Drosophila melanogaster: one gene and its partners. The protein of the gene in region 4 interacts with the protein of the main gene of each other region in a pairwise test. Each region holds a gene or a part of one and is shown on either strand. Other genes may lie near its edges. The genes, in order: chn, sqz, akirin and Rel.

The links.
Region 1: the proteins of Rel (region 4) and chn interact in binary tests that used the Drosophila melanogaster proteins (3 or more experiments, as listed by UniProt).
Region 2: the proteins of Rel (region 4) and sqz interact in binary tests that used the Drosophila melanogaster proteins (3 or more experiments, as listed by UniProt).
Region 3: the proteins of Rel (region 4) and akirin interact in binary tests that used the Drosophila melanogaster proteins (3 or more experiments, as listed by UniProt).

The regions. Positions count from the first base shown.
Region 1 is NT_033778.4:15,113,696-15,118,478, forward strand, and holds the start of chn (charlatan), read left to right. Parts: upstream 1-1,765; 5' UTR 1,766-1,993; intron 1,994-4,783. UniProt on the Drosophila melanogaster protein: Probable transcription factor involved in the development of the adult pattern of macrochaetae. Required for accumulation of achaete (ac) and scute (sc) in proneural clusters.
Region 2 is NT_033777.3:19,162,326-19,170,237, reverse strand, and holds the start of sqz (squeeze), read right to left. Parts: upstream 6,028-7,912; 5' UTR 5,322-6,027; intron 2,394-5,321; 5' UTR 2,204-2,393; coding exon 1,850-2,203; intron 1,670-1,849; coding exon 416-1,669; 3' UTR 1-415. UniProt on the Drosophila melanogaster protein: Transcription factor involved in neuronal fate specification. First required in embryonic CNS development to define the number of cells that express apterous (ap) in the ap thoracic cluster of interneurons.
Region 3 is NT_037436.4:7,367,948-7,374,215, reverse strand, and holds akirin (akirin), read right to left. Parts: upstream 4,374-6,268; 5' UTR 4,148-4,373; exon of another isoform or gene 4,032-4,147; intron 3,877-4,031; exon of another isoform or gene 3,666-3,876; intron 3,417-3,665; exon of another isoform or gene 3,191-3,416; intron 2,510-3,190; 5' UTR 2,382-2,509; coding exon 2,144-2,381; intron 2,054-2,143; coding exon 1,697-2,053; intron 1,636-1,696; coding exon 1,625-1,635; 3' UTR 505-1,624; downstream 1-504. Other genes in the region: Sh3beta, read left to right, coding at 5,282-5,326, 6,232-6,268. UniProt on the Drosophila melanogaster protein: Molecular adapter that acts as a bridge between a variety of multiprotein complexes, and which is required for embryonic development and for normal innate immune response.
Region 4 is NT_033777.3:9,043,683-9,049,637, forward strand, and holds Rel (relish), read right to left. Parts: upstream 4,296-5,955; 5' UTR 3,754-4,295; coding exon 2,842-3,753; intron 2,546-2,841; coding exon 542-2,545; 3' UTR 501-541; downstream 1-500. UniProt on the Drosophila melanogaster protein: Transcription factor that plays a key role in the humoral immune response as part of the peptidoglycan recognition protein (IMD) signaling pathway.

The DNA of each region.
Region 1 (4,783 bases), on a different chromosome or scaffold from region 4:
CAGTTGACGTTGCAGAAAATTCTCAAAAATGGAGATGAAAAATCCTGTATTTTGGTGTGTGTGTGTGTGTGTTTTTGTTTGCGTGTGTGAGTGCAGCTGAAGAGGCAACTGTAAAATTAGGTTAGCAAAGGAGTTTTGGGGTCTGTGGTGTGGGCTATGGGTTATATGGCTGACTATGTGGTCACATGTGCAATTTGATTAAAACTTGGGTGCCGCTAAAAAAAACTGCTGTCCTCAAGTGACGGAAAAAGTGGACGAAAAAATGACGAAAATCTAAAAATGAACGTCGTCATGGCTAAGTGGTAGCCATTTTTTACCTGCAATCGTTTTGCCACTCGACTGAATGGTTTTGCGGCTAGGGCAAAAACATAAAATCCGCGAAAATTAATTAAAGATTGCGCACCTTACGCTAATCTGTTTTAATGAAATTCCCTTTTATGTTTTTTCTTGGCCTTTAAAGTGGAGTGGGTCATCCTACAGATGAATAAATCCTATTTTTTGTCTGCAATGTTCTCTTTCAATGTATCATGTCAGTACTATTTAATTAGTATTTTATTATTAATGTATTATGCAAAGCTGCTGGCCTTCTTAAAATAAGTAGTACATTGTACTAATAAACCAAGATTATAATATTTTATATATCGAGGATTAAAACAGTTTTTGTTTGGCAGCTTTTTGGCAAAAAATTATAAATACGAGTGAGCATTTTAAAAACATTTTACAAATTGACAGAGTTGGCATGACTAAGCATTGTACATGGCTATAATCCAGTGAATATGTTTATTGATCAAATAAAATTAATCAAATAACCGTATGTAGAATTCTAGGTGGTAACTTAAACTCTACAAGTGTAGCAATTCGGAAAGCAGCTCCAAAATAGTTCGCAATGGGTTAGTGACACAGCTAATATTAGAAGGTAGTAATCGTGTATGATGTAATGTAAAATTATTGTAAAATGGAACCGGAAATGTAATTTTTAAGGAGGATTGCAAATGAAATTCAATTTCAATAGCATTCTATGTAATGGAAATTCTTTTAAGCTTAACAAATGAAAGCTTAACAAATAAGAAAATTGGTCTTTAAAAATCATATGTTGTTGTTTAATTAGTCAAATAATAAATTCAACTATTATTATACTTACAGATAATTAAAAAAAATAAATAACTTAAGAGATTTTTTGCTGTGGCCTTTTTTCCGCGCTGAATACAATTAATTCGATGTTTTCGGATGTTTTCGGCGCGACTATCGATAATACCCCGATACTGACAAATAAAAAATAAATTATTTTTTTATTTTAATATACTCTTTCTTAATTTAAGTCAATTAATAAGTCTATTTATATATTAGAATCGTTTTTTTAGCTTAGTGACAAAGTTTTGCCGGAGAGTCCACTTGTTATGCGTGGGAGCGTGAGCGTTGCGGAATGCGCGCGCTTTTTGCAATTGTGGAAAGCGGAAAAGCGGAGGGGTGTCAGAAGAAGAAGCAGGGCGGCGCAGACAGGAAGCTTTTCCCACAATTGCACAACGTCGGAGAGGTATTATTATTACGCGACAGGCAATCGGCGCGGCAACAACAGCAAACTAAGCAACGCATCGCAGACGCAAAAACAAAACTAAATATTACAACATATTTACTTGGCCCAATAGGGGGAGGGACGGGAAATTTTCCGCCCAACCCATCAGCCACCCCAAAAGAGTGGGTGGCGGAGAATCGCCGTAGGATCCGCTCCTCCGCGACCATTCATATTCATTCAGTCACGAAATCTCATTCGGTGTGTGAGTGTTGATGAGGTTAGTTGTGAAACGCGGTCCGTTCTCGTTAAGTCGGAAAACCGAAAAGTGCATCAAGGAAATCATTTAACAAATCAGTGAAGTAAATTAATTTCCAGCTGCAAAGGAGAAACACAAACCTACTAAACAGTGTGCCGCGCGAAAAGAGGCGAAAAAGTGTTGCATACTCCGGGGCTGGCTGCAAAACCTCCGCTAACATGTTGGTAAGTTGGTGAATAAAATATTTTAAAACAAATCGGATCAGAGTAGCATGGAGTATCTATTAATTGATTTTCCTGGGAGGGGGGGCCTTTCCATATCTATTTTCCAAGCCAAGTGATTTATTGATTTTTCCGCAATGCGTTTGTGTGTGTGTGTGCGTATCTTTTTCGGTATGCACTTTTTCCAGAGAAACATCCCACTGGGGGCAGCAACCCCCAACTAAAAAGCGCCAACTTCTATTTTTCCTTCATCAATACTTCACACAAACACACACACGCACACAGTGGAATAAAAACAAATGGTATTGGTGTGTGGATTGGAGCAGGCGCTCTATGCAACGGTATAGCAACCCCCAAACAATGCACAACCCACCCTCTTTCTCGCTCTCGTTATGGCTTTGAAGGGTATTACTATCCCGCTCTCGCGACAATAGCTCAACTGTTTTGGCATTTGAAAACTAACTGCCGCCCCCATCCCCCCGCACCCACCTATCGTAACCCCCTTAGTTTCTCGCTCCTGGGTGGGTGGTTGTTTTTCACAGCCGGAGCACATCATAAATTTTGTGTCTATAACAATTTTTGTTATATTCAACCACCCCACCCACCTACCCACCACCCCAAAAAGCGACCCACACCCCTTATCAAAAAAGTGCAAAGGAATTGTGTTGCACTTTCGAGAGTTCAACTTCCGTTCGTTCACTCTCGCGCTCTCTGGGAAAATAGAAAATAACGGCACAGGCTTGCGCTCTCTCCAAAGAGAGAGATGCATTTTCATTTCGATTCGATGGGGGGTTTTGCATATGATTTTTTGGGGTTTCGGTTTTTATGCAACATATGCGACTACATATGTATGCATATGTATGTAGGAGTTATATAATTTGTATTTGATTATTTTGCCTTTGACGAATTCCGTTTGTGGCATGGTGTTTTCAAATGAAAACTAAAAATGTGTGGTTTTTTGTTGCCATGGGCAATATGGTGAAAATTTGTGGGTGGCAATGTCTGCTGCAGAATGCAAATAACTGCATTCGAGTGCTTTATATATATATTTATATATATAAGATTATATTCCCACGCACATATTTTATACATTTATATATTATATGGAAAATGCAATTTGTATGCAGTCGAATTGCACTTGCCCGGGATTATGCCTATATAAATAAATACTATGTACGGGGTAGGGGGATACCGGCAACGGAATTTCGTTTCATGGCGTCTCCATGGATTATATATAGAAATTAGTTGTGTTTTTGAAGCTGCTTACATAGACTGACAGCTTAATTGCTTTTTACTCGTCGACAAAAATTGATTTTAAGCTCGAGTTAAACGAAGCCAAGCACTGGAAAATGCCTAGAATGCAACGCATATTCCTTTAGATTGGAAAGTAAAGGGGTGGAAAACGGAAGCAGACTATAAGACAAAGTTAAGCAAGTTCGTTAAGCAATAACAACTAAGTGAGTTCGTTAACCCAACAATACATGACAGCATTGTTGAAAACTTTGACTAAAATTGGAAATCATTATATTAGCGATCACTTTCTTTTATTTCCAAAAGAACCTTATGTACTTTTTGAACTTGATTCTTTGGTAGTCACTACATAACATGAAAAAAGCGTAGCGATCATTTGATTTTATTCTTAGCCGCAAACTGACTATTTCCTGTTGACTTCATTTCATTCACACTCCCCACGCTGATGATGATGATTGAAAAAATCACCCAGGGGCCAAGACCCAGTGACTCACCCGACCGCAAGGCAAGCCAAGCGGAGACTGTACCCAACCCAATGCTCAAAACAAACCCAGTCTCGAAAACGCACACACACACACACACACTACCCACCCACTCAGACAAAGTGGATTCGAGTTGGGAGTTCGGAGGGAGTTGCGCATGCGTGGCCGTGTCCCACGCCCACTCGTCAAGGGGTGTCTCCACATAGGAAAAACATTTACGGAAATCTAAAGATTTGCTCTTTGAAATTATGTTAGAACTCACTTGATCTATAGGAAGTCACAACTAGTACTACATTTTCATTGTTTGAATCCTATATCAACGGGATATAACAACATATAGGCAACGTATTATAACAAATGCCTACATAGACAGTATGCAAATTTGTACCAATAATGTCCCCTCTTTTTTCTCTGTGCATGTTGGATGTGAGATAGTGTACGTATATAAAGGGTTGGAGCGAACTATACAGTGGGAACCAGTGATCGCACAACCACCCCCGGGGTTCCCAAGTTAAATGAGACGTGACAAAGTGCAAGAGTTTCGACCCCTTTGAGAAGTGCCAGGCAGATTTCCTCTTCACAAGTGGCGCCCAAAATGGGAAGCCCTATTCCAGCGAGGAGACTTTCTCCCAACTGCAAAACCGAAGAAGGGCTTCGTCTTCAGGGGCAACAGGTTTTGCTGGCCGTAGGAAGCCATGTGCTGCTGTAATTGGTCAGGCTCATTACGGGGATCGTTGGTTATATCACAGCTTGCACCGGGCCAAGGATGGACTAACGGGTCCACCCAGGCCCAGTGAGCACTGCCTCCGAAAGAACCTCTCAGGGGGATTCGAGGTGGCCCACATGTTGTCCACTGACGGCTGCTCACGAACCGGTTCCAGTCACCAGGCAGCTCCTTTATCCGCGATCATCATCATCTCCATTTCCATCACCACCATCATCATCATCTCCTTGGCCGGCCACTTCCACTTGAGTGGCAATGAAGGCAAAGTAGGGTGCTCAGGCTGCTCCATTTCGAGGGTTAACCTGTTTGCAGTTACCCTACGGTTGAGGTATGTGG
Region 2 (7,912 bases), about 10 Mb from region 4:
TTGCTTATAGATATCTAAAAGTGTGCATAATTATCGTATTTAAAATCCTGAGTTGATCTAGATATTACATATTACTTTCATATGGCAGTTGAAAATAGCACAGAAACTGTAGGATTGCAGTTGATTTTCTTATTGGTTTTGGGCAGTGATGGAGTTGATTTTGGCCGAATCGTATACAAGTTTCATGATGAATTTGGAAGTTGGAAGGATGCTTAAGAAAAACCAGTCACAATCCCAGCTCCTATGCCACTGCCAACTGGAAACTATGAGTAACTTATTTTACTTTCAGTGTTTCAATTGGTATGGATTCAAAGAGAATAAAATACCACGCTCTTGTATCCATACCAACTTAAACGTTGATCCTAAGCTAATGTCATCGTTGCTGCCTCTTTTGGCCCCGACCTGACGGCCTGTACTATTGCGCCTTTTCTTTGGCGGCATTAACAGCGCTCAGGCCCAAGGCGAGATGATCGCCAGCGATGAGACCCGCCGCTCCTGGCTGATGGGCATAGTTTCGGATCTGGTGAAGCGAGATGAGCTGTGTGGGAAAAGCCGCTGCTGCTGCCGCCGCATTCTGCTGATACAGATAGGCAGCGGCGGATCCTGGCGGACCGCGATGCTGTTGAAGATGTGGCGGTGGAGCCACTGTCGCCGACAGTGGAGTGAAGGCCGAGTTTCCCGGTCCAGGCGATGGCTGGTGCTGCGCTTGTTGTTGCTGCTGGGCCTGCTGCTGTTGCTGCTGCTGCTGTTGTTGCTGAAGGTGATGTTGTGGTGTTGACTGGCGCAGGACGAGATCCTCGCCCGCGGCCTCCTCGTGAGGACTATGCGAATGCCCCGGCGTGTCTGCCAATCGCTGATGATGCAGCAGTTCCTGCTGCTGTTGCTGATGCTGCTGCTGCAGGGATGCAAAGTTGCCATACGGCTGACCGCCGGCCTGCGGCAACTGCTGCTGAATGGCTTCCGCCAGCGAAGCCGCCGCACTGTCTGCGCCCATTTTGGCCCAATATGCGGCATTCACATCGTTCATGGCCTGGCGCTGCAAATTCAAGCCGATGCCGCTCGCCGGTACGTGCTGCTGGTGGGCAGCCACCTGGGCCGTGTGGCGATGCTGCTGCTTCTCCGCCTTCTCTGCGTGCTTCTGCAGATGTTTCTGAAGGTAGGTCTCTTGCGTGTACGATTTGCCACACAAATTGCAGATGTGCGTCTTCAGGTGCTTGGAGTCCTTGTGCTTGGGAATGTGCTCCAGCAGGGTCATCTCGTCGCTGAAGCACTTGTAGCAGGAGTTGCACTTGAACGGCTTGTCCGTCTGATGACAACGCGAGTGTGACTGCAGATTGGATAGCTGCGAGAAGGCCTTCGGGCAGCCGGCGTGCCGGCATTTGTACGGTTTGTCACCCGTGTGCGTACGGATGTGCTGCTGGAGATGCGACAATTGCGTGAACTTGCGCTGACATATCTCGCAGCGGTACGGCTTGATCCCCAGGTGGATACGCGTGTGCTGCGACAGGTACGAGGAGTTGGCAAAGGACTTGCTGCACGAGCCACACTTGTAGGGCTTGGCCTGATCACCGTCTCCCCGTCGGCTTTCCTCCTCAGGCGAGGAGCCGTTGCTGCCACTGCCGCTAGCGCTGCTCATCTGCTGACGCGGCGGCGATCGATTCGGGTCGTACTGGAAGTAGATAGAACGTTTTAAGGGTATCGTTTAGTATTAAGTACACGATGAATGGGTTACTAAAGCAAAGTCATATAATCTTTGACCGAAGAAATATTAAGATCGCAATTTAAGTATCATATCAGTAACATTTATATGCGTATGATATATTTTTTCAATATTGAAATAAGTGATTACCTTCTGTTCCTGCTGCTCGTGTGGAGTGGGCGGCGAGTTGGGCGCACTGTAGCTGACCTTCAGCTGCGGCGGGTGCTGCTGCTGTTGCGGGTGATGCAGATGCTGCTGCTGCTGCTGATCGGGATGTGGCTGCTGCTCCATGACCATTTGCTGTTGGTGCTGCACCAGGCCGTTCTTCAGCGAGTAGTCCAGTCGCTCAGCGACATTCTGCCGGAATTCGCTAATGTTGAAGGGCTTGTAGTCGTGAACCAATTGGGCGGTGGTCAGATGACCCAGCGAACGCAGCTGATCGATGGAGCGGTGCAGATAATCGCCGCTGGGGACGCCGTTCGGCGCCGTCGGCAGTTCGGCCATAAGCGGCGTCTGGTGGCCGCCAAGGGTCAGCGGGCGGTAGGCGATGGTGCGGGCGTCCAGTTTGGGGTCGTCGTCAGCGGCGGAACGAGCCTGTGCGTTACTGGCTAGTGGAAATATTGCTGCGGTCTTCGTCGCCGGGAAGTCGACACTTCACTGGCGGCGGGCTTACACAACTCGGCGCGTTTTTGTGCTGAAAGTACAGAAATATTGTAATTCTTGAATCCACAAATTTGTGCCCAGTCGGCACAAGTGCTTAAACTACTTTTCGATTCTGCCACTTGGCCGCTCCACTCCCCGCCGTTGGGTACATTAATTTCTGCACATTAACATAAATATGCATGAATTAATTAATTGTTTGTGAATTAAACGTGCTGCGCGCAGAAGGTACTGACTGAAAGCACAACTGTTGCAACCCAGTAAAAAGTTGCCAATGGGGCGCAAAAAGCGCAGAGAATTAATAACAATGCCGGGCAAAAAAGAGTTAGTCAACGGAAAAAATCACAAGATAAACAAAAAAGGCGCTTGCGGCCAGAAATTGTTGGTGACAACCACCAGATGGAAAGCGAAATGGAATCGCATTCTGGCCCGAAGAACCAAAATCGCGATTACTCTGTGGCCAGGTGACGATGGGCAGGCAAAAAAAAAAAAAAAAGCAAAAAAGGCAAAAAACGTCAGGGGCGCCAACGGAACGTGTCAACAACCTCGAGAACTGAATGCAACTACATCTCTGCCACTTTTTAGGGCGATGCAGCCGGGTTTCCAATGGACCACTGATGTTCTTGGTCTGTAAATCCCAAATGAATTACTTAAAATGTGGGATTTCCATGCAACAGTAAAAAACACATGAAAAGAATGTGTTCCAAACTTATATTAAGTCAAAGTTAAAAAGAATTAATAATATCTTACTTTAAATTACGCCAAAATGGTCAATTTTCTTAGAATATATTATCTATTTCAGAAGTTGTTGCTCGTTAAATCAAAACGGAAGCGTATTTGAAAAGAATACGTTGCGATAAAATGTAATGAAACTTAAAGTTTTTAAGGGCGTTTAAATATTTCAGCTGGGATGAATAATTGATAATTCGCTGAATAACAATGCGTCGCAATTATTGCTCAATTAAAAACATTAAATGCGTTGTTTTAAAAATATTTATAAAATATTAGTGCATTCATGCAAACATACGAATAATTTGAAATTTGACAAATACAAATAACTATAGTATCATTACAAATAAACAGGCAAAAGTCATTACTCAAATCTTTAATCATAGCTTTTATCTTCACTAGAAAATGTCGGTATTATTATGCGAATTGGGATTCAGTTTTGGCTTTTAACTAACTAATTTTAAGTCTCCGAAATATTTATAATGTGCATAAAACACGTGACTTTTGATACGAAATAAGGTTTTCAAACTCATGTATTTATGTCTGTAAAAATGTCCAAGTATTCCATAATTAATTTAAACAACATTGGTTTATGTGCATAACGCATTATAAGTAAATAGTTGCATATAAATCGCAAAATCAGGTCTTGTGAAATGGAAACTGTATTCTGAGCGCGAATTTGAATACGACCTTTTGGTCGGGTGGGTGTTGACGTCAGAGGTAAATTCAATTTTTGGCTTTTTTTTTTTTGGTTTTGCCTGGTCAAAATAACCGGTTCTGCCTTTGTTGTTGTTGTTGTTAATGCTGACGTTGGACAATTGAACAGCATGGTAGCAGGAATTCTGTGTAAAGATGGGGAGGGGGAGGGCGGCCATGTAATGCAGAAAATAAAAGGACGCGCCACTCGCTTGTTGCGCACATTTAGAGCGAGACGGGGCGACAAGCAAACAATTGTTTGCCGAACAAACAATTGTAATATGAAATAAGCGAAAGTGGCGAGCAATATAAAACAGAAGCCGGAATCGTAATCGCAACCGTGTAACAACAGATCCAGAAACACGGGAAATTGACCGCTCAACATAATGAATGCAAATGGGGAAATTGGGGATAAATAAACGCAATCGGTCAGTCCCCAAAAATACAACAAAAAAAAAAAGAAGAAAACCCCAAAAAAGAAAAACACGAGAAAGAGAAGCCCAAAAAGCGTATAAATAAAATGGTATACACAAAAAACCTACACACAAAAAACGAATCAACGAAAATTAATTGAGCGCGAGCAGCTGAAAACAAAAGAGAGCAAAGAGCGAGCATAAACAAACGAACGAGCGAGCGAACAACAACAACAGCGCAACAACCGCAATCGGACTGCTCTCTCACTCTCTTTTGTTGGGGGCGACATGTGTGCGAAAAAAGAAGCGAATATTTGATGAGTACGAAAAAAGTGGAAGATAAAAAGACATCGACACACAAACACAAATGAAAAAAAAACCGCCACCAAATGAATGGGAACGAGCATAAAAAGTCAAACAAGCGACTAAACGGAATGGTCAAGTAGTGCGGCACGACTGCAAAACGCTTTTGAAATTATTCTGGTTTAATTATTTGTTGACAGTCGCATTCGGCTTACAAATGTTTGGAGTTTAAAGGTTTTGACTTATTCCCCAAATAGCGAAGATTCGGAAATAAGGAAACAATAAGTATTTGACCAATGGAACACTGGACAAACACTTTGGAAATTGTGCTATTATTTTTTTTTTATAAAATAGGATATAGAGTCCTAACCAATAAATAAATTGTAATTCATTTGCTTTATATAAGTTTTTACATTAGGTAATTTTCAAGTAGCAATTAATATATAAAGGATATGCATATTAAATCGTTATAATTTTGTAATAGTAATAACTGTAAACGCTTTCATGTTATTTAACAAGGAAATCGCAAACTTTAAATCATTTTTGCAACATTTTTAAAAAAATAATGTCCTATAATCTTTTATGTTTTTCTCATAATAACACGTCAACTAATCATCGATTCGCAAAAAACCCCTCTTTCGAACAGTAAATATTTTGTTAAAAATGTGAATTTTACGGCGATCGTTTTCAAGTCTCACAATTATAACAAAAGCGACCACTGTGCGTGAGCGCGGGAAAGAGAAACAAACACCGCAATCGCAAGTGTGTTTGACCAATAAGGCAAATAAATAAAACATGCTCGTGCAGCGCAAAGTACTTACCAATTTGAAAGTGCCTTTTGTGTTCCGGCGTTCGGGTCTCGGATGCAGTCGCGGCCCCCTTTTTTATGTTTGTGGGCCAACTTTTGTTGATATTTTGGAGCACGTGTTCGCCGACTGATTGTGGGTGGGAGCCCGCCTGGGAGCTTGCCTGTTTCGCACACTGACACACTCACACACACTGGCGCAGGTGATTTGTTTGTGGTCTGCGGCACTCTATTTTCGTACTTTTGTTTGTTTTTGGGCACCCCTTGCGATTGATTTATTTAGCGAAAATTAGCGAATTTAGTGGGGATTTGCGTAGTTTGCTACGTTCTGCTTTGCCGTCGGGCCTCTCTTTCGCACACAGAAGAGACTCTCGAGTGGCAACAAGAAAAAATGGCCGCGCACGCCAAAAATACACACACACACCAACGCACACACACGGCAAGCTTATGTTTTTTTTTGCTTTTTCTGCACTTGTGCTTTTTTGCCCTTCTTGTATCGGACTCCCGAAATATTAGTTTTTTCAGCGACCAACAACGATTAATTGCATTTACAACGAACACGTTGCGAGGGGGGCGTGGAGCTGGAGCAGTTGGGGGCGTAAGCTCCGCTCTTCGGTTGTTTACGTCGCGGCAAACGCAAAAAAACACCAACAGAAGCAGCAGAACAGGAGGAGCTAGAATAACTGTTCGTGTTCACGACCGTCGAAAAACTGACTGAAAAAAAATCACAGCGAAGAGCGTCTTTTTTCAGAAGTTGTTTTTCGCTCTCTTCTCTCTCCGCACAAACGCACACTAGTGAAAAAGGCTTGTTTATGTTTTTTATGTGTGCGCTCTCACTCTCTCGCGCTCTTTTTTGTTCCCGGCGCCACAGAGTTTTTTTTCGGTTTCGGGGAGGAGGCGTGCTCTTTTTTTCGAATACCAAATTTAATTGGGCCAAATTCTGGGGAGAGAAAAACAAAAAGAACATATAATATCCTGCATCCTTTCTGCAGTGCCATTGCCCTGACTTTTGGCGGTATTTTCTATTTTTGGGAATCTGAAATTACAATTTAAGCTTTTAGCGAATCCTAATCTAGGAAACAGCAATAGTGGTACATAAGGTCCTCCGTGCTGGACATGATGCACATCACCCGGAACAGTGGCACAAAGAGTTTATCCAAAATATTAGGATGTTCTCCTGGCTGTATTGAAAATTCCGTGCCACTGGATCTTCGCCTATGAGCTGTTGAACTTTGTTACCATTTTATAACTTACACTTACATATGTATATTATTATAATCTATTATATAATATCAATGTTATTGTAATTATATTATTTTGCGCGCTGAATTCATGCCTATGCGATTCTATTGTATAAATATATATGTATTTATATATATGCATTTGTTAATACTTCTGAAAAAGAAAATGAAGAACTTAAATATCCGTTACATATTATATAATATTATTGATAATATTATTATAAGAAAAATATGTCTTGAAGATCAAATTGAAGATAAGAATTTTAAAGTTCCGGAAACTGATAATTATTTTATAACTCCTCATAATTTTTAAGGTTTTTTTTTTTACAAAATCAAAACATTTTTTGTTGTTTACCCTTGAAATATTTCTTTATTCACATTTTCTACATTAAAGTGCTGCGCCAAATATAAAATTTGAGCCTCCAAAAGAATTAAAAAATTTAACTTAAAAATAAAAAATATTAATTTATGTATATTTGAAATTAAGCAGCAGTCAAAGTTATTTTAGTAGTTTATTGATGTTTAGTGGGCTAAGATTGTTCCTGAGGGGAGTTCCGCTGTGCACCACAATGGACTGAAATGAATATTCCCGGATTCCTTCTTCATTTCCGCCAGCGGTTAAAACCTGCAAAGTGACAGTGTGTCAGTTTTAATAACTAAAAAGAAAGTGCAAGTATCTACCGATTCATTTACATGGATATCAGTCGTGATTTTCGAGGAGACTCTTTTCTGAAAGTCGAATTGAAAGCGTTAAAAGCCAATACAAAAGTTTCCGGGTGCTGGCTGATGGACTCAACGTCTGTTCTTCGCACCAAGGACATTGTAGGATGCGATCCTCAGCCTTGATATCGTCTATCAACTCCTGGGCAAACATAGAAAGGTACGTTTCCTTAAAGTCCTTAAAGAATAGCGTGCTTCATTTTAATATTTTTTAATTAAAGCAGCCGTACAGACCCCAAAACAAACGACACACCAGAAACAAATTGGAAAAAACTTGATTTAATTCCAATTTACCAACTTATGCACGATAAATAAAAGCATGATTCTAAATTTTGGTAAACCTCCAAGAACGCGCACACTTTGACATTTTAAACTGCGGCTTTATCGCGCCAAAATTTTTAACCATGAAAATATTCTTGTGTTGGCAATGCTTGAAGTACAGTAATTTTTGCTCGCAACGTATGGCCACACTGCCAATTTATTTGTAAATTTGATACCCTGTATGTAAATATATTGGATAGAACATATATGTTTTGTAGTTATCGTTGGCAAAATTAGAACAACCTTTACATTAATTGTAGATATTTTCAAAACATGAATAACAATATGATTTGTTTCAAACGCCACATGCTTATCTCCAGCCCTG
Region 3 (6,268 bases), on a different chromosome or scaffold from region 4:
TGTATTTATTATTGAAGACTTTTTAATGCATTATTATGTAATTGTAAGCATGTGAATCAAGCGTATTTTTAGTTAACTAGTGTTAAGTTTGGAAAGTTTCTGTTGAACGCACAAACACATTAAATAAATCAAAATGAATATTCTCAGAGTCTGGAGAAGCCACTGTAAAGGTTATTCATAATTTTATTCACAAATGGAAAGTTTTGCACAAAAGGTATCTCTCATTTTGCTCAGTCTTTTCCCCACCTATGGCAGTTTTGCTAGATTCGCAAATTATATTGAAAAACCTGGTTAATCATTTAGCATTAGCTGGATTTGGAGCAACCAGAACCAATTGAGTTTTATTCGGATAATACGGGTTGGTATAAAAAAAAGAATATTGTGGTTTATAAACGGATGAAATTAAGAGTTCGCTTCACAAACAGAATAAAAAGCTTTAAAAAGAAAAGACCAGCGGGCATCTACAATTCATCATTTTATTTTTGTTTGTTTTAATATAAAAATGGCATTTCTTTACTAATTTTAAGTTTAAATTACTAATATAAAGTAGTATGTATGATTGCGGTAATTGAAAAATATATATATATATATATATCATATATTCTCGTATATATTCTTCAAGGTGTGAAAAAATAATTGCAATGAACATGAAACATCTTCTGTCAAGCGTATTTTATAAGAAAGCGTTCAATTTAACTTAATGAATAACTTTTATACCTTTTTTGTTGTTTGCCTTTTCTTTTCGTTATTCATTTTTGTATGGTGTAAAGCAAATCGAAACATTTCAATTGTTTTGTGTGTTTACATTACTTTGCAATAATTCGCATCAAAGGAAGAAACAATTAACAAACGATACTCGAGAAAATAGGCAAATTCAAGCGTTCGTTTCTCGCCTTAGTGTTACAACTAATATGCAAAAATAAACTATGAAAAGTGTTCTTCATGAGTTGTGAGTTATCTTTGTTGCTTCGCTTCATAAATTACAATTTCCAAAAAAACAATATATGTAGTTTGATAGGTTTTACATCATACCTTATATGCTACATCATGTGCCTAACATTATATATTTGCCAATTCTGTCGGTCTGTTATGTACGAAGCTACGTTTGAGGTTTCATTGAATCGTTCTCTCTACGGATGCACCCATATGTATATGTCTGCAGTGGCGGTGTGCTTATAGTTCATATAGTTCATAATTTGATATTTGTCATTTTATTTAGAATTTGCGTTATGTGAAAAACATAAATTTAACAAGTTGGTTTGTTGGTTTCTCTCTTTTGTGGTTTTTGCTTGCTTTTAAATAATTCATCCCTTTGCTGCTAACCGATACAATATATATATGTAAATCTAGGCATAAACTATAACCGTTTTCTTCGCGTGTATTTCAAAATATATTAAACACGATGTATGTTGTAGTTTGTTTTTTTTTTTTTGTTTGTTTTTAGGTTTTTTGCTTTTTAGGTTTTTTTTTTTTGTTGGTTTGTTTTGCGTTTGCTTTAGTTTCCTTATTTGTTGTTTGTTATAGTTTATGAGGGCTGTTGTTGTCGCGGTAGATCTACCGTCACATAAGATCGTAGTGCAATTATTAATTTCTTCTTTCTGAGGCTACAGCTGTGTACACAGCTTTACGACAGGTCTGAAATAAAAATATAATGTAATTAGCACTATAACCATGACCGATGGTAACTTGAACTCACAGCTAGGCGCTGCCTCGTAGCGACGCTGTATCTGATCATATGTGAACTTGACAAAGGCATCGTACTGCTCGGCCAGCTTGGTGGTCAGCACGGACTCGTAGCGCTCCCTTAGCTGATTCTCGCGCTCCTTGATCATGCTCTCGCAAATGAGCTGCACCTGCTTGAACGTGAACAGGGCCTTTTCGCCGTGGCGCATCAGGTTCTGTGGACTGTCCGGGCGGCGCGGACTCTCTGGACCCATCTCCGATCCGCTGGACTCCGAATCCTGCATGCGTTCCAAGGCCGACGAAGTGATCGGCAGCTGTTTGCGCTTGTGCAGTCTCTTGATCTCATTGCACAAGCTCTCGGCCATTTTGTCTGTGTTTCGAAAAGAAGAAAGGTGTATTAAGGTAATATGCATAAAAGGAATCCGACGTCCCTTTTCCAGCATCGACCTGATTTACTAACCTGGTGACATTTTGGCCAGCGACGACTCACTGAACGGACTAGGTTCGGTGCTATCCTTGGCGAATCGGTTGCTGGGCGTGTGGGGCAGACCAGCCGAGGTGCTGGGACCGTCGCGGGATGGCGACGCTGGACCTGCATTGCTCCCAGCCTGGCCAAAGGGATTGCAACGCCGGCGCTTCGGAGGCCGCTGGTTCATCGACTCCCAGTCTAGGGCTCGTTTCAGGGTTGCACAGGCCATCGCTATGATTGAGGTTCTACTACCCGGTGGTCTTCTGATAGATAGATGGCTTGCTTGATTGTCGGTAGATGCTGATTATTGCCTCGATTCCAAATGATGGATGCTGCAGATGGAAGATCAAGCGTCGGCTGCAATGGGCAAACAAACAATGAATGAGTAAGGTGAAGTGAACACCTTGCTGGCAAAGAAAAGACGGACGCAAACTGGTTTCAAGGAAAAAACAGGATTCACAGGCGTGCACTCACGCACACGCAGCCGATAAAAGAAAATGGTGCAGCGATTTATGGCCGCCAATGCTGGCAATTTGGACTTTTTCTCGCCTTGTATGTATCGTGGGCAACAATTGTACGCTCTCTTATCTTATCGCTTATGGGGCGTGATTTTGGAAATAATTTGAGGCTTCAACGCTACAAAACAAGGGCCTTTGCTTAAAAAGAGCGCCGAAAATAGGAAGGTACAAAAATTTTTAGTAAATACTTTTCGCTAGTCAAAGTTGCTAGCAATGCATAATTTGAAAAGCTATTATCCGATATTTTCCCCAGAAAGCTATTAAAAATAGAAATGCCAGTAAAAAACTTTTAAATGCGAAGTTCGCGTAAGTTTAATGACTTTGATGACGTCCGTTTTACCTAAATAATCATGACAAGAGAGGAAAAAAAATTCAAGACAACAAAAAAATGTTTTTTTTCCCCCATTTCGTCACGATTAAATTATATTGTTCAATAAAATTAGTAAGCAATTAAACATATTGTTATATTCTTATATTCATAGCTTTTTCTAGAATAGAATGACAAAACCATTTTAAAAACCTAATTTTTATGAGACTATTATAGTTTCCACGACAATTAAAAGGATGTTGGCTTCCTTGGGGTTTCTAGCTTCTTTCGGCTATCGCCGACAGCTCCGATACCGTGCACCCAGCTGCTGTTGTCGCAGGAAAAGGGCGATACCGAATCGGAATACGAATCCAGAAACTCCGAAGAGAAGGAGAAACCAGCCAAAGAAAGCGACGAAACGAAGTGGCGCAGCGCAATTAAAGGACGACCGACAATGAAAATAAAAAAAACCACCACGCAAAGGCAAAATGCATAGCAATGCAGAGGGAAAATAAAGAAAACAGAGAAAAGTGTAAACTGTAACCCAATAGCAGAACAACCACCGATAAAAGAAAACTACGCAGGATAATAATGCGTGTTCTTCTCACTCTTCCCCTTTCTTTCTTTTCTTCTTCTTCGTCGCTGCAGCGGCAGCTGTACCAGCTGTTTTCCGCACTAACACACGCACACTGCCCTCTCGATAAACCGCAACACGTGTGTATGCGTCTGCTGCTGGTGTTGCTGTCTCTGCCCACAATTATTAAATATTTAAAGCCATATACAAAACGTTTTTGGGTTTAACGTTATACTCTTTTACGTGACAAATGCCAGAGATTAGTTTAAAAAAAAGCAAACGAAATGGCAGCAGCCAAAGCGATCACACTGGTTGTCCCACTCTAGCCTGCACACGCACGCACACAAAGAAACGCACACGCACACCGTTGTGAGTTGGAATGTTGATTTCATGAAATTTTAAAAATGGTCGCATCGCATATCATTATCAGCTTTTCAGAGGAACAAAAAGTTAAACAGCTTTTCCAACAATCGCACTTACATTAATGCGTATTTTGATTTTTCCTTCCGACTGCTTTTTTGCTTTCTGCACCACTTCACACGCGCTTTATTTACTTTTTTATTGTGCCACTAGTCCGCTGGCACATACCCACTTACATTCACGTCCGTACTTCAGTTTGGGTGATTAATTTAGGTTTTCGGTTAGATATAAGTAATGTTATTGCTTGCTGGTTGTTTGAGCAGTATTCCAAAGGCCACTGAAATGCACTGTCAATAGTTGTTCGTCCTCGGCGACTCGCTAGATATAATTTACAAATTTTCGTCTCGCTTCTTAGCAAAAATGGACGACGATGCTTGCGTGACGGGACGTGAACAGAGTGACCGCATGGCGACCGCTAATATTGGTTGCCCTGCTAACGGATCTATACCAAAAAATACTTTATGGTTCTACCAAATATAGCAAAAACTTCAAATAACCGAAAAGTCTGGGGAGAACATTTTTCAATTGCATATTCTATGTACTTTCTTGAGTCCTATAACCTTAAGTCGTTTGTAGAAAGTTAGCATTATTGCATTTTTATTTTTATGGAATTCAACTCCAAGTAACAAAAAATTAATAAATAAAAAACACCCTCATGTTCTAAATTCCACCGTTCCTTGAAGCCGCTAACTCATCGACGCCAAATTAAAAATAATTTGTTCTATAATAAGAATCCTTTTCTTCTATCTTTTAAAAAACCTTAAAAAGCCTATCTTATGCTTTTTATAAATTATTATTTTATTATTACGATTATTAATCGAAGAACGTTTAAAAAATGAAAACCTTACATGGGAGCATAATAAAATTTAAGTTGTCTTAAAAATATTTAATTTTGAAATATCACTTAAGTTCAAAGTTTTTAGTATTTTAATCAAGCATCATATTTAGTATATTTGATAAGCCGGAAGGTTTTCTATAGCCGTCAATGCGCGGTCCCACCATTCAATTCAACGACAAAGTAGGAAATATTTTCCACTCCTGATATCAAATATTTTTGCACTTTTATAAGCGTCGCCAGGCAATTTTTTTATCCGCGTCTTTGCCGTTTTTACAGCCAATAAAACCAACGACCTTGCCCAGTGCGTGTGCCTTCGTCACCAGTGGAAAAACATTACGTAGGGGCGCAGGACGGAAGAAAGCAGGAAAAGAAAAGATCTATAAATATTTTTAATCGCCGTGAAAGTAGCCAGCAGATTTTAGTTGCAAAATATTATTTCATTTGCGGTGCGAGGACACAGTAATCTGCGAAAATGGTCTTGAAAGTCTACGTCAGCGGCATGTCCGGCAATAAGGAGGTGAGTTTGTGGGCGTGGCGGGCTTAAAACCGAAATAGTGTCATGTTATTGGAATGTTTGGCCCTGGTATTAGCGACAAACAGATAAAAAGGAAAAGAAGCAAACTAAAGTGGTGACGAACGCATTGCAAATTCTATTTCTTCTGCTGCGTTTCGTCTTTGTGTGTATGTACGTGAGTTGGACAATGATGATGATGTAGTGTGTGGTATGTAAGTCTGTATGTCTGTACAGTCAAAGAAAAACAAGTGGGTATTTTCGTGAGTGCCCTTGTGTGCGAGTGTTAGTGGTGGCAAGAAGCAGAACAAACATACATTTCATTGCCCATATAAGCTCATTCCACTGTGAACTGTAAATTGTTCATGGAAGAGAGGGATTTCCATTGATCGCAGTTGCGTGGGTGCGTGTGCATGTGTGTGTGTGTGTACATGCGTGAGGGGTGATTCACTTCCCCCTCTCACTCTTTCGGTGCCTTTGTTCAATTGGCAATCTTCCTCTTCCAATAAGAACAAAAACATAACGGTCATTGTACGGTTCACAATTATTTGTTTTTGTCCTGTCTTTGTACACTTTAAAAAAGCGTTGGGAAACACATATTCTTATCGTAAGATAAATGCTGGGGTGCAACAAACCATTTTAATTAGCCTTATCATATCGCGTGGTTCTGGCGTTCTTTTTACGTACATATGTTTATATCGGCGGGGAGTTGGCTTTGTGTGCGCTTGTGTGCGTTTGGGCTTGCCGGTAACACTTCATTAGCGATTTGTCATCGCTGTAATTAACAGCGTTGTCAAAGGTAGCTACACTGAACAAAACGATACATGTTAAAGGTATTTTATATACTTTAATTTTTAACTTTCTTTTCAAATTTAAATGCTTTCACTGACCGTCGAAATCCAATTTTACAGGTGAAGAAGCGCCAGCAGCGCGTTCTGATGATCCTGG
Region 4 (5,955 bases):
TGTACTATTCCTTAAAACATTATTTAGTTGCGATATTCTTGAAAAAATATAGCAGGAAAGGTCATAAACCGGGAATGATAAGGGCTGTCGGTAAATCCCCGCCTGTCACTGCAGTTACGCAACAGTAATTCCCCCACAACACACACTTAGGCGCATAAGTACATGTATGATTCACCCACTTGTTTACCAAGCGGCGTGCGCGAGCGGCAATGAAAAATTAGTGATTCCCCATTCTTAGAATGTACTTTTTAATGCCGAGCTATCGATGGATCCCCTTTTGCTAGTGATCTCATGCAGGGCGCCGATGGTAATTGTTTGAGGGAACAAGTTTAGATTGCTTATAGAACTATTCTAAAGAATAGATTCCATGGAATAATAAAGGAAACTAAATAAATGCTAATAAAGGAAAATAAATTAATGCTCTGATATTTAAAAATAAAGCTTGCTATCCCAGGCATCCTAGTTTCGCGTATTTTTCATTCCACAAGAGAATAGTATTTGTAAAACTAAGGTACTTTATTGATCAACATTCAATACATAATCAAGTTGGGTTAACCAGTAGGGCGTAAGCCTGTGGATCCACTGCCTGCAGGGCACGAGCAAATGTGGAAAACTCTACAGAGGCTCCTTTTCTTTTCACGTGATCCAACAGATCCTCCGCGCCCAGCCATATAAAGGCGAACTGCTTCAGATGCGTCTGGCGGGCTAGTTGCATCCATTTCCGATCTTGGGGATCGGACCCATGTCCCAAAGGCTGATTCAGCAGCGAACAGAGCCGGTCGTAAATGAATTTGTTTTTGAGCAGCAACTGCAATTTGTTGTTGTCCATTTCGGTGTCTCTACTGGATTCATCTTTCTGTCTTCTTGGACCACTACTTAGGTCCAACTCCACGGAATCCTCGTCCTTTGTTTCGATGTCCATCTCCTCGGACTTGATCTCCAGCTGACCAGCATCGCTACTTTCGTCCGACGATGAATCGATCTCCTCCTTGACCTTACATGGAATCCAGGTCATGGCCAGTTCTCCCTTCTCCGGATACACATTCTTCAGCAGCTGGACCACCCGGTCATTTGCCTTGCGTTCGGCCAATTCCAAGGGAGTATGGCCGGCTGCATTTTGTGCCTGCAGGATGTCGGTAAGGTTTTCATTTTGGGCATCCAGAATGAGCACCAATAGCTCCACACTTTGCTCCAGAACTGCCATGTGGAGTGCATTATTACCATCCATTGTGTTGGCCACGCTAATCGAGGTCCGATCATAGCTGATCAGTTTCTTGGCCACATCGTACTTGTTCTGTCGAATGGCCATGTGCAAAGGCGTCAGACCATCGTCGTTCGTTAGCGAGAGGTCCAATTGTACGGTTGGCACTCCATTAAGGAAGCTTTCCACGCAGCTTAAGTGCTCCTCCTTGACGGCCACATGCAGTGGGGTATTTCCGGCATTATTCTTCAGATTTGGATTGCATCCCATACCCAGCAAAGGTCGTATGTAGTGCGCTCGGTCTTGCTGGCACGCCACATGCAGGGCACTATCACCGTCCGCATTCAAAGTGCTATTGACCACATCTTTCAGATTGAAGTAGTTCATCACCTGTATCGTCTGGATGGCCAGCTTCAGTTTGTCCTTTTTGTGGCTGATCACTTCGTGCAGGAGCGTGTCTCTATTGTAGTTATTCAGAGCATGCTCGATAAACCACTTCTCCACTTTGTGGTGCGAGATTTTTATTGGCGATATGCGGTCCTGTTTGTAAATTTCGAATAAGTCATCCAAGCATTTAATTGTACGATTTCGATGCGATGGCACTTCCGCCCGGTTATGACCATCGTGCTGCAACTCTCCCATGTCTAACTGGCAGATCTTCTCGAGATCAGAAGAGTTGTGCTCGATAAGTTTGCGGAAATCTTCGGAAGCAATAAATTCATTTAGATGCTTTTCGCGTCCGAACTCCTCACTTATAGTCTGATCATGCTGTGAAAGGTTTGGCAAGCCATTTGGTGGCTGCGCCAAGCCCAGCGTTTTGGGCAGATCCAGCGAGTTATTAGAGCTTTCTGTTCCCGAACTGCTGCTATTGGCAGAGGACCCGGTTCGTCGGCGTTTCCTCGACACAATTACGCTCCGTGGCTTGTAGCGGAAGGGCAGCGCCGGGAATGAGCGCTCATCGTCGGAGGGACGAATGAGCTCGATGTACACGTTGACCTCGCGGTCCACGTCCTTATCTTTGTACGGAGGCGTCTGGCACACAATGGCATATTGGTGGTGTACATCCGATTCGCGGAACTTTGCGTATGCCTCCCACACGGTTTCCCCGTCCTCATCCTCCTCGAAGAACCTCACTTTAATGTTCTTCTTGCTGACCTTTTCCACCAGTAGAATAAGCTCATCGTTGCCCATCACCCCGCCAGTGGGTTTGCTCAGGCGGACGATGCGAAGCTCTCCAGTTTGTGCCGACTTGCGGTTATTGATTGCATTGCTGTATACAGGCGGTGCAAGTGGAACCCATGCGCCGTTGTCCTCAATTTTAAAGGCCTCAAAGCAGAGCCGCACCTAAAGTTGGTGTTACTTTTTTAGTGAGTTCTTTGTTGCTTTTCAGTAAGTTAATTGCTTCGATGTTATATTGCTCAGTTATTTTAGCAGAGAAATTTATATAATTCGAGCTAAACGAGTAGATACTTTACAGACTGCTTAAATAAAAAGATTAAAAGGTAGCAAATGCAACCTATAATTAATTGACTAAAGCATTCTAAAGTGAGCAATTAAACGTGTGAATAATAAATGCAAACGTGCATATTCACCTCATCGAAGCAAGCAACTCGATATTGTTTACGCGCTGGTTTACCCACCTGGTTCAAGTTCATGTCCTTGGCCTCACGCTCTGTCTCCTGATGCAGTTCCTGTAGCTGTTTGTGGGACAACTCGCGGCGGTTCATCTGAAAGACCAGGCGATCCTGCTTCTTCTTGCACAGTTCCTCGAATATGTACTTCTTGGCGGTGTGTATGATGCCCATGTTGATAAATTGCGCCACATAGCCGCGCTCCTTGGACACGTGCAAATCATGCGGATCGCACACATCCCGATCGTCCTTGCGCACGACCAGCTGATGGGAATGTGGGCTGTCCAAGTTAGTTTGGAACAAACTGCACCGGATGACGGCGGGTCCATCGTAGTTGCACAGTGTAACCTCCGGGAAGGTTTTGGGCGTCCGCTTCGAATTGGCGCCATTTAGCGATCCATGTGTTCCATGCATCTCGCTCTTGTACCGAAAGCGGAACTTCTCCACCGGTTGCTCAACGATCCGCAGCTGCGGCACGTGTTTGATATCGCCGTCAGATGCCAGGCCATTTTGATGGTATCCAAAGTTTTGGGACGGTGGCACAGTGGCCGGAGCGGGCACAAAGTACTGGTGATCCATGTACATGTTGCCAAAACTGGTGACATTAGCAACGCCGAAACTAACGCCAGTGGAGTTTATTAAATTGGTAGCACCCAATTGGCAAATTCCGCCGTTGTTCAACAGCTGATTCTGGTATGGTGAGTTTGCCATTGGCGGCTGGTGTGGTGAATTGCCGCCGGGCAAATTAAGATTGGCGAAGTCCGTTTGCAGTTCCATGGTTTTCGGGGAGTGGGCTGGTGAAAAGGATCGGTTGGTGGAGTTGGGTGATGTACTGCTGCTATAGCCACTGGTGCTGGATGCATCGTTCATAAACATCACATTTTTCCCATTGTCCAGGTCGTAGTACTGATTCATGTTCATAGTCCGTATCAATCCAATATTTCTGATCAATAGCGTCTTAACAACTCAAAAGTGATCCGCTGCCTTCGCCGATCGGAACGCTAATGATCGAAACGAGCTCCGCCGATGGCTGACCATTCGTTTTAGGTACTTCCCCGATGTTCGGCGGATGGGAAATTATCTGCGGCGGCCACGTCGAGATGACTCACGGGTTTTTCTGGCGCACCACTCAGTGTGATTTTTTTGATCGGCTATACTATAAGCATGTACGGAATTCTGGATTCGCGGTTGTTGTTTACAGAGCGAAATCACACTGTTTATATGTATTCCACCCAACTAATACATATATGCAAATTTATGGAAAAACGACGCAGCGAATCGGGGAACTTTAGTGCGCCACTGCTGGAACGAAAATGAACGAAGCACTGCGCGAACACAAGTAGTATCGCTCACGAGTTGCGAGCAAAACGCTCGCTGCCCTGATAACAGGTTTAAGCTATTTGCGCCGAGCTTTCGGGTCAGCTTTTCACGGAAACTACGGTTCAAATTCATTTATTTGAATACCTGATTTCAACACACCGCGCACACTAAAATAAAAACAAGGCAGAGCTGCCACCGGCAGATAAAACGAGTTGGGTGGCAACGCCCCAATCAGATGTTCTACAAATCTAGGGATGGAAGCGTACGCGATTGTTTGTTCCCATTATTCTTGATTAATTTTTATAAATATAATTTAACCTATTTCGACAAAAAGATATAAAGGTATATAATACAAAATATTAATATAAATAATACAACACTTATATAAATATAAAGATATAAGGAATTTTAATACAAATTTATAATGAGAACCGGCGTAACAACTTATAACTGTGTTATAAAATAATAATAATTATGCAATGCAAGTACCGAATATTAGTATTATTAATAATATATTTTTACGCTTTCCATTGGCTTTTCCCTTAATTCACTTTCGTCACGCACTCATCTCTAGCGCACGCTTTGTTTTTCTTCGTATGATATTACGTTTTATTTCGGACCCGATTCACTTTCTTATGAGCATACACACCTGAAGTTAGACTTTCCGGCGTAATTCCGGGAAGCCAAGACCGAAATGGATCCTATAGAACGTCGCAACATGGTTGGAAAATTTAAAACACCGGAATGTTCTTTTATCCTAAGACACTTGTGCTAAATGATAAAAAAAAACTACATAAGCATGCGCCACTGAACTAATTTGCAATTCAGTCGGTTTCCACTCCCACTGGACCCGCGCACACACACACGCACACTCACGCAGAAACAGCTGATCTGTTGCCAGGCTGCACTTAGAGTATATATGTATGTATTTACGATCCCTTTGCACTTTTTGATGTGTTAATCAATCTTCTCACTTCGCCGTTCCTCTCTTACTCTTGTTACCATGCCAAGGTGTGTGGGTGTGTGTGTGTAAATGCTTTTACACCTTATCAGTTGACGATGAGTTTGTTTATATTGATAATCAATTAGCAGGAAAAACATAAACAAATCGGGGTCTTGACTTTGCAACCACTAGTCTGCGTCTAGACTAGAGTTATTAATAGGCAGGCTACAAAATTAGCTCTTTATGCGGACAAAGGAAAATTCGTTTTCTTGGCTTGATAAAAGCAAACGTGTCTTAAGAACGCCTATTCAAATTTCTTTGAAGGTCAATTATGTATTTTTTATGGATTTTTGTTAGCCAATTTTCACTAGCAGCATACCTTATTGTGACTTCTTTTGTTGGCTTTTGCGAAATTTTCCTGGTGGAAAATTCGAACTGCACTGATTGTCGGATACCGATGGACTGTATAGAACGAAACAGATCACTGAATGAGCCTCGCACGTGTTTGTATATTTTGGATAAAAGCTTTTCGGTTCAGCGCACTAAATATGCGTGTGCGAGCGAGCGCGACTTAAAAGCTTTAAACACTTGTCGATAAAAGTTTTGAACTGTGTGCATATAAATATGGCTTAAAACGGAACAAATACATATGTGCATATATGGATTTTCGATTTTGAAACAACGCGGAAAATAGCTAAACACATATTGAACATATTTTATTTTCTCAACATGAAAATTTTTAAAAGTTCGCCTTGTGTGCACAAATATTTATTTAGGAAATTCTTAAAGACGTGGAGAACAACTTTTGTTGCTTTTATTACCAGTTACATGATTACGATTTTGGTTGGGAATATTTGCTG